Linked DNA regions of Drosophila melanogaster. The protein of the gene in region 1 purifies or fractionates together with the protein of each later gene. This does not show direct contact. Each region holds a gene or a part of one and is shown on either strand. Other genes may lie near its edges.

What was found. The genes of interacting proteins can lie anywhere in the genome.
Region 2: the proteins of CG5973 (region 1) and CG1620 purify together in Drosophila melanogaster (affinity purification with mass spectrometry, with the first as the bait; one large-scale study listed by BioGRID). This does not show direct contact.

The regions. Positions count from the first base shown.
Region 1 is NT_033779.5:7,435,625-7,440,514, reverse strand, and holds the start of CG5973 (uncharacterized protein), read right to left. Parts: upstream 3,024-4,890; 5' UTR 2,727-3,023; intron 1-2,726.
Region 2 is NT_033778.4:7,493,306-7,498,066, forward strand, and holds CG1620 (uncharacterized protein), read right to left. Parts: upstream 3,162-4,761; 5' UTR 2,957-3,161; coding exon 2,221-2,956; intron 2,157-2,220; coding exon 1,561-2,156; coding exon of another isoform or gene 1,519-1,560; exon of another isoform or gene 1,493-1,518; coding exon 1,064-1,492; 3' UTR 501-1,063; downstream 1-500. Other genes in the region: dpa (disc proliferation abnormal), read right to left, coding at 3,496-3,591, 3,652-4,104, 4,174-4,540, 4,602-4,761.

The sequences.
Region 1 (4,890 bases):
TCCGAGCCAACATGATATGCATAAATAAACAAGTCATATGAAAAATGATCAATACCATCAACTAGCCGGCTATTTGATGCAAATTGCTGTTTTTCCTTATGCATTTTACCATTTTGCAGCGCCACAAATGACGAAGCAAAATGCAAAGCCAAATAGATATAGAAAATTCGAAGTTATAAATACCCTTGGGAAGTTTATCTAACAATTCCGCTGTAGATTTTGTTTTCATGACAGATTCAACTACAATTGTTTATCGTTTTTTACAAAACGTGAAAGCGATAAGACATGAACATGCCAAAAGCATATAAAAAATAATGTTAGTTTTATATCGCAAAAACAATCTTTTAATTCGACTCTTTAATTAAATTGTGTCTACAAACAACTATACTTAATCGATTGAAAAGTATATGTACACTGGCTTAACTGCACCATTAATCAATCAAAATCTTAGCTTTAATAGAGAGTTTATTAAAACTAAAACACCTCGGCTATAAACTAAATGATCCAGCTAATAAATTACAGCCCACTTTGCTATCGGCTTAGTCGCGCCCCTGATTTTTAAATGGGTCAATCCAGTTGGTGAATACGGTATATATAGTACAATGTCAGCTCTGATCAAAAGTCTAATGCATTTCTCGTGCCTTGCATATCAATCTATTTGGCTAAGTGGAGGACTTCGTTTTTTAATGTAATGATATAAACATGTGTGATTCCATAGTAATTAGACGGTTATAAGCCAATCAATGAAAGCGATCAAGGCATTAAATGCAAATCGGTCTCAATTATCCGCAAGCTAGGAAATATCCAGAATAACCTGTTTAGGGTATCAAATGACTTTTGAACTTTCAACAACCCTAACGATGGCGACTTTAACTATTTAATGGTTTTTTTTATAGAACAACTTAAGATGTAAGAATGTTACTTAAGGCAAATTAAAAGCACGTGCATGCTTAAATTACTACTGCAATATAATAATGGTATTTTTATAGATTTTTATAGAACAACTGAACATGTTAGGTCGTTACTAAAGAAACAGTTTGTTCATACAGTTCTACTATAAACTCTTGCAACAACATGATCTGGGCCAACAACAGTAGGCAAATGACACTACGATTCAGCACCTGCATTACTTGGCTCATTCACTGAACCGACTGCTCAAAAGATAAATAAATACTCGACTCGAATGATTCTCGAGGAGCAGGAATAGCCGGTTTCGATTTCTTTCACAATGCCAAAATTAACAGACTCGATCGTACGAACGTGGCTATAAAAAATCGCCTTCGGTTCCAAGTACGAAGTCGATAGAGTAGTATTCAGAGATATGTAAATTTTCAGATTCAATAACGGCTTATTGTATATTTTCGCAAGTCTATGGTATGGTATCCTTCATTTGACAAAATGTTAACAATTTGGGTAAATTTCATGCCCACACACAACACGATCGGCCGTAAGATGTTTAACTGGTTTTGAGTTCACTTATTTTTTCGGCGGCTGAGAACCCACAAGGTCGCTTGTTATATGTGTATATAGAGAATTAAGCGGAGTTTGCAATAGTCAAATATGAGATCTAAATAAAATGCCCAAATCGCGATGTTAATACGGGCAAATCATTATAAACTCTGTCAATGTTTTAGTGTCAATAGAGCAAATGTTTTCATTGCCCACTGAATCGGCTGATTGGGGTCTGAAATATTTATAAACTACGACCATCGATCCCTTGAATAAACAGAAATTGAAGCCAGTTGGAGCGAGACAGAAAATTGTCACTAATGCTGGGTGCGAAAGGGACATCAGTACCATCAATTTGCATTTCAATTGTGTTACATTTGCATGCATTATGAAGGTGACAGTATAACCACGCTATAAAGGACGGCTTTGAAAAGTGTGTAGTTAGCCTTCAAATTATCTTAATGCGAAGAACAGAATACTTTGAAGAAACTAAATTAAATAAATTATTTTTAAATTTTATCTCAGCTTAAGTACAATATTCCTGCATAAAAATATTTCTCAGCGTTCTCTATTTTAAATGAACAAGCAAGAAAACTAACAAACAATTATAGCTTATAATTTCAAATATAGCACTGTGCATACCGTTACAAGTTATCTCAAACGCTTCATTAAGTTCAACTATGCACAATTAAAATAGTTTCAAATTACCACACTGTAACGACGCTGCAACAAAATGCTCAGCAAAAGCACTACAAAGTAACACTTTTTTTCCATTATTGTGCGCCATTCAAAACGACTTCACTTGCCACAGCGAAACAGCTCTTAAATAATTTGGAACCACACATTTTCACACACTCAAATGGTGTAATATGCCAACCACCCGCCCATCTGCCTTAGGCAATTCCCACTTTACTTAGCCACACAAATATTATCAGCTACCGAAGATCGAAGTGCCAAAGTGGTGAGCTTGCGGAGATTATGAATGGTAATATGGTCTGGGATATATAGATGACCATCGGGAGGGCGGGGCTGTTTGGTATCGAGACGCACGCGCTGACGAAATGCAGCCAAGTGGTAATTGTTTTTATGGCCAAAAGCCAGAGAGCCATAAGTTGCTTGTGGCACGCTGGCCGGGTAAACCAGGTGCGGTGGGGGCAGAAAGTGTGTCAACGGCGCTGCGCATGCGCATTGCCCAAAGGCAAGAGTGAAGTAAAATCTACGAGCACAATGGCCAAAATGTGCTTTCTATGGAGCATAATGTTGTTAACGCAACTTACCGCAAAAATACACACAAAATTACACGCCTCGAACGGCACGGAGATATTCAATTTTTTCGTTTTCGTTTTTTTTTTTTTTTGCAAAGGTAAATTCAAAGATTTCACGTTTCACTGTTGGCAAACTTTTGCAATTGGCCAAAAAAGGCAGCGGAAGAGGCGGAGGAGGTGGAGTTGCTGGGGGGTTGATTTTCGATTTTCCTATGCGGACAGGACGCGCAATATAAGGTGCGAATATTGGCGGAACAAATGCGTTAAATGCGGCGACGTCCAAATGGCAACGCGGTCAAAACAACTCTGAGATTGAAAACCGCTCTCGAGCTCTTGTTATTAATTAACTGGCCAACTCAAGCTTGACAATAAAACGGCTACGGCGAATGCTAAACAAAATGAGAGAGCGGAATGAAAGCTGTCTCTTGGAGAGCATTTTCCAGCACTGCTAGAGCTTTTTCAAGAGCACCACAAGATTTTAAAGCGGAAAGCTTTTCAAAGATGTAACTGCCTTTTGTAGAACGTAAAACAAAACATTCTGCAGGACGTACAAAATGTATGTATTTAATAAGACAAAGAGTCTATTACTTATGCTATCTATAATATAAAACAAATGATGTTACAATCAAATTAAAAATATTTTACTTATTTTCGTTTTATATTTTAAGCCAAATAATATAAAAAGTAATTAAAATGTAGAAACCTTCATATGGATTTCCATTAATCCCTTTCGATACTTTTTAACACTGGCTGATAGCTTACAGCCCAACTGGTTCAAGCAAGGAACCGAACCTCAACACTTTTTTAAGCTCCCACTTGTTGACTTTGAAATAGTAAACATGTTTTTATCAGCTAATATCAGATCGTGCCAATCTATCAATTAGCCAAGGTGGAACCCCTGGGGGCGAGCGTTAACCACGCTTGAATAATTGCAATTATTTTTACCTCTTTGAGTGCTTCACATTTTGCTGATGGCAGCACTCGTAGCTGAAATACTCAACTTTCTTTAGCCAAATTCATGGCCACCGGGTGAAGTTCATAGCATTTGTTCTTGGTCAATTCTTTTTGTTTCATTTGGCCATGCTTGCAGTTTTCTTTTTTAGCCAAACACCACTTTCGTTATATCATCGCTACCTCTTGTGGCTGATAAATTAAACATTTTTCGCAGGTTGAGTTATCTAAATTATGGCAGTATGTGGGGAAAAAAACGGTTTGACATAAAGATAATGACCACGTATTGAGAGCCAAATAGCTTGTTGATTAATTACTTAACATGGTTATATAAACAAGGCAAGCCATGAAGATATGAGCGCAGGAACATTTATGAATACGTAAAATCTACTTCCGACAATGTAAATTAAGACCCGCGTGCAGTGTATTCTATTCAATGATGGATACTTAAAAATTAAGTATACGCAGCAAATTACGTATACGCAAATTACGTATACGCAAAAACTCGCACTGTAACTAGCCTATCCAGATAGCTATAAAACCAAACTCTTCCAACATAGGTAGAATTTCTACAACCTTGTCTATCGTCCAGCCAAAATATTTAAAAATGCTCATAAATCTAAATACTGGAGAATGGCTATATTATTTTACCCAAAATTGCTATAACCATTTCTAAATACACCTTCGAGATTATTCATCTATGGTTTTCCCTCGTAAATATTTTCTCAATGCCAATATTTCATCACAGATGACACACATTTGTTGGCTTTAGTTGCACATTGTCGTTGTAGCACTTCCGACGTCAGCTTTTACTGGAGGATCAAAGTCGAACTGGGGAATCAGCTCGACATATGCCTGATTGGTAAACTTCGTCCGGTTCAGAATATGAGTTCGGGTAAGACATCGATCAATCGTATGCTCTATTAAATTATTGCACTTTGAGCAGATGGTTTTGCAATAATTAAACGTATGTATCTGGTGAACAACTGCAAGCTCACCTGTTAGGCTAGCTGATTTTCTTCAGATGTTTAAAGTTCAAATTAAACATTATTTAAAAACATGTGTCAAAAGGTATAGGTATACATTATCTTAAACTTATCGCCTAAGGTATTAAGTGTTCTCCGCTGGGGACTTTCAGTTATCGACGGATGCCATGGCTTACGCATTATTAGTTATCGCGATTAGCAATCCCTATCAATGAATCTCAAAGATTAAAGTCTTGGAT
Region 2 (4,761 bases), on another chromosome or scaffold:
CCTGACATTTGATCCTCGCCGCAATTTATACTCGTCTTTCTACCCACAGTGCGAAAAACACACACACACATTCGTATGCACAATGTACGTGGACAGACATGCGGCCAATAAATGGGAATCCAACACCGTAATTGGCCATTTTCAAGAACGCCTTGCAAAGAAAACTGGGGAAAAGATACAGACATACCTAAGTATCTATGTATACGAGATATGTATGTATATTTATACGGACCGGTTCTTTGTTTCCGATCCGGTTAACTTTTAGGGAATACGGAGTACGATTGATCTTTCGTTAAGATGGTTATTTGAAATCCGTCAGCTTGTCTTTTAAGTAGCGATTAAACTAATGCATATTTGATAAAATTTGGTTAATTTTCGTTTAAATATTGTTTCTTCTATATGTAAACAAAGGCTTTTAAAGGGGAAAATACTAGGCCGAATAAATTAATAATATGATGCATACTTTGTTTTGAACCAAATAAAATAAATCATGCTCATCTAAGATATCTAAGATGTACTTTTATGTAATATTAGTATCTGATTTGTAGCGAATCTTACCTGTGAGTCTACAAAGCTTTCGATGTACATATATATTTATCTTTTCTGATCATACATTACTTTCGTAAATTGAGAATTGAAATTCATTAAATTATTGGAGGTTTTAAAACATTTGGTCAAATATCGACAAAACAATAGAATTGACTTTACAGATATACATATTACATTTATTGACATTCAACGAAACTCAAGGATTGAGCGAAAATATATTGTATATATAAGCGATAAGTACTTGGTTCCGGAATCCACACGCACATGTAACAAATAGACGAATCGCACACTTAACAATAGAGAAATTCTTTACGGGTTATGAGAGATGTCGATTTAAGAATCTGGAATATATATGTTTAGACATATGGTATATACTACACGTACAGTATGCATATTTATAGTGAGTGGTAATGGTAATGAAGCGCCCTGCAAATACATCGCCTGGCCCAACCGAATCGAAAGCGCCTGCGCTCGGTTATGATAATGATGATGGTGATTGTGATAGAGATGTCGTTTACACTGTGGACAGGCTGGGTTCTTCCTCGACGTTGTTGTCCTCGTCCTCCAGGGGCAGAGATGCGGATGAGCATCGCTTTCGGTTCCCCCCGGAAGGATTACCTACCGCCTGACTCCCGGTCATAATAGAATAGCTCTTAGAGGCGGGTTTTCGAGGACTGGCGATGGTATCCTTCTCCAGGGCAGACAAATCCCCATTGCTGTGACCATTGCTGCTATGCGGTGAGCAGCTACCATTACTGTTAGCGGTGCCCGATACGATCCCGGCACCATTTCCATTACCACTTCCGTTGCCACCGCCCGCCTCGTTGATGAAAACATCCATGTGATCGATGGTGTCGTTTAAAGCAAAGCTCTGATCCCGGCGCTCACTCTTCTTCCACAGATAGTAGAAATGGACCAGCTCGCGCATGGTTCTAGTGCGCACCTGAAAGAGCCCAACGAGCCCATAGATTACTTGCTAGGGCGGTCCGCAGGCAATGGACGCTCCTTTACCTGGTTTTGACGTATCTGATAGAAGTCCTTGCCAAACCGCTGAATGCCCTCCTCGAACTTTAGGCACTCGTCCTCGGACCAGCTGCTCATGGTATCAGTGAGAGGCAGGACGTTCATGCGCTTGCGTCGTAGGGCTTCTTTGAAGTCGTAACCGCACTGGACAAGCAGATGGAGCGCCTGCTCATTATCCTTTACCACCAGCTCCTGATCGCCAGCGCCACTTGTCGCAAGCGGAGCCCTCGGAGGCGTGGCTGGAGCTGTAATGGGAGCCGGCGGTTCGATAGTAGCACCTGTAGCTGCGCCTTCCTCGCCCGCCGTAGTCTCTGACCCGTCATCCGGCGGAACTATCGATCGGGTTTCCTGTATCTTGGCCAGATATTCCTCCACCTCGCGCTCGCTGACTTGGCTGGGCTCCCAGATCAACTGATCCTCGTTCTCATATGGCAATATATCGCCATATTGCGACAGCCCCTCTGGGATCTCAGCCTGATAGTCGTGACCCACCATTATTATCTTCCGAGCATCGTCCAACTCGGATTCGCTTTCCTCCTCCTCCTCGGCCTCCACTTCATCGAACAGTGTTTGCAGTGGAGTGACTATAAAAGTGTTACATAATGGAAGTGATAATTAGATTCTGTCACGTTTTATTTTTAAACCTACATCTTTCCGTCTCCTCTCCGCATGTGGGCGCCAGATCGACGAAGGATTCATCTGGATACAGGTCCAGCAAATGTGAGCGATGCTGCTTCTTGATCCCCTCATACTTTTGCGCATCCTCCGTGTCCACGGACGAAGCTTCTCCTGATTCTGGGGGTGATGCTAGCTTATCGGCCTCCTCCTTGGGTTCCTCCTCCTGGTCTATGCCGTCGTGTTTCTCCAGTTGCGATGTGCTGCTCGAAGTGGAGGTCGACGTGTGAGCCATCTCCGTGTCCAGTTCCTGGTACTGGCGCTTTGTGGCCCTACGTGCACGTCGTGAACTGCTGCCGGAACGGTTCGAGCTGCTCATTGCCGGCGAAGCCGCTGTCCCGCCATATTTGGCCAGCAGCTCCTCGATGGGCATCTCGCTCTCCTCGCGCAGCGTGGCGATCTCGTCCTCGGCACTGTGCGCCTCCATGTCCGCCAGAGCCTCCTCCTCGTTCAGCGTGGCCTCGTCGTCAAAGTCGTTGACCATCATGTCGATGGTGGGCTCAAAGGTGGTGTCCGCCACCGAGGACGACGGCGACATTGGCGGTTGGACGCTGGTGCTGTTGTTGTCCGAACTGGTGGCCGGCGACTTGCGGCGCTCCCGCTTGGTGGGCGTGACGGCCAGATCGCTGTTTGCCAGGCTGCCGGAGTCCGCCGACGCCTCGGAAGCGCTGTGCTGGGAGTGATCCGACGATTTCCCGAACTCCATCATTTTCCGTACACACAGTGTGGCAGCAGCCAGAGCGCCAAAATATCTGCACTTCGCCTGCGCAAATGCGCTAAAAAACGGCACTAACTGGGATATTCCTTTTTTAGTTGGGGTACTCCTATATATTCGAAATTTGTTTTTGTTTGGCTTTCCAAAGTAATGCTTAATTACACGAATTTTAAGATTCAGTTTTTCTGCCTTTTCAAATTTAAGTGATATGTGCTCTTCTTATGTATAAATCACTTTATCAATATTTTAGCAAGCTTGACAACATTTTCCACGTTGACATGTCCATATATTTTACATTATAAGCTGCTCGAAAAATAAAAAAATTATATTCAAATATCAATCAATTATTTTTCTACCGCAATATATAAACTTTCCAAATAATTTAATTATGTGCAATTTTTCTTTACATATTAGTTGATAAAACAGAAACGAATAATTTGAAATTTTTTTATTGAAAACATTTTTGTAGTTGCGCTTAAAAATAGGAATGAATGAATTTGCGGTTGGTTTTGAATGAGATAAATGTAATAAAATTAACAAATACGAATGGTGTTCTTTCCCATGACAACAATTGCGCCCTCATCTTGCACCTCCTTCAGGGCATCTTCAAATTGCTCGCGTGTGATCATCTGCAATAAATTATCGTTTACATTGATTTTATATTATAAATATATTATATTAGCACTTACAATTTGGGATCCTTCCTTAATATCGCTAAACAGTTTCTGATAGGGAACTGTGAGAACTTTGCCCTTCTTCTTGAGGTTTTCCTTGATGGCTGCCACCAGATCGGCGCGCTTTTTGCGAGCGGCTGTTGATAAGCCGGTGGTGAGAATGCCCACGTCAATTTTGCCGGACAGGGGATCCGTGGCCGACTGCTTGAGAGCCTCGCGATGAAGCCGCCAAGCCTCCTCCACGTCCAGCAATTCCACCTGGTTGCTGAGACGCACCTTGGCGTGCGCCTCCGACAGTCGGATGAGACTCTCCAGCTGGCGCGGGTAAGCAGAGATCTGGCCACGACCGGCGCCCACCTTTCGCATGTCCACGTAGGCCTGAATGAGTCGTTGTTGCGCTTCATCCGACAACGTAGGCGACAGATGTTCGCGGGCATAGGCGATGTAGTCGCGCAGGACGCTCATGTCCTGAAAATTGATTGAATATGTTACAGAGATATTCCGGAGAAATACCAACAATTGATCCAAGCTACTTACAAACATGGTATCCTCCTCCTCATGACGCGTCACATAGTACAAAGATACCAAATGGCTGGCCAGTCGCTTGTCAAAGATCTCATCCTGGGGATCCAGGACCAGAAAGATTAGGTCGAAGCGGGACAACAGGGTGTGCGGAAGCTGGACGTTATCAATGATGTTCTTGCGCTTATTCCACTGAGACTCGGCGGGATTGGCGGCAGCAAGAATCGAGGTCCTCGCGTTTAGCTGACAGATGATTCCCGCCTTGGCAATACTCAGTGTCTGCTGCTCCATCACCTCGTGCAGCACACTGCGTGTCGAGTCGTTCATCTTGTCAAACTCGTCAATGCAGCAAACTCCATTATCGGCCAAAACCAGTGCACCTCTGAAAACAAGCCATAAGATTACAACCTAAATTCGAATCTGATTCAAGCTTTTAGATTTACGTTTGCAGAACCAGCTGGCGAGTCTCCGGATCTTTGGTCACATAGGCAGTCAAACCGACGGCCGAAGAACCGCGACCGGAGGTGTACTGTGATCTTGGCACGAGGTTGAAGACGTACTGCAGCATCTGGGACTTGGAAGTACCCGGATCACCGCATAACA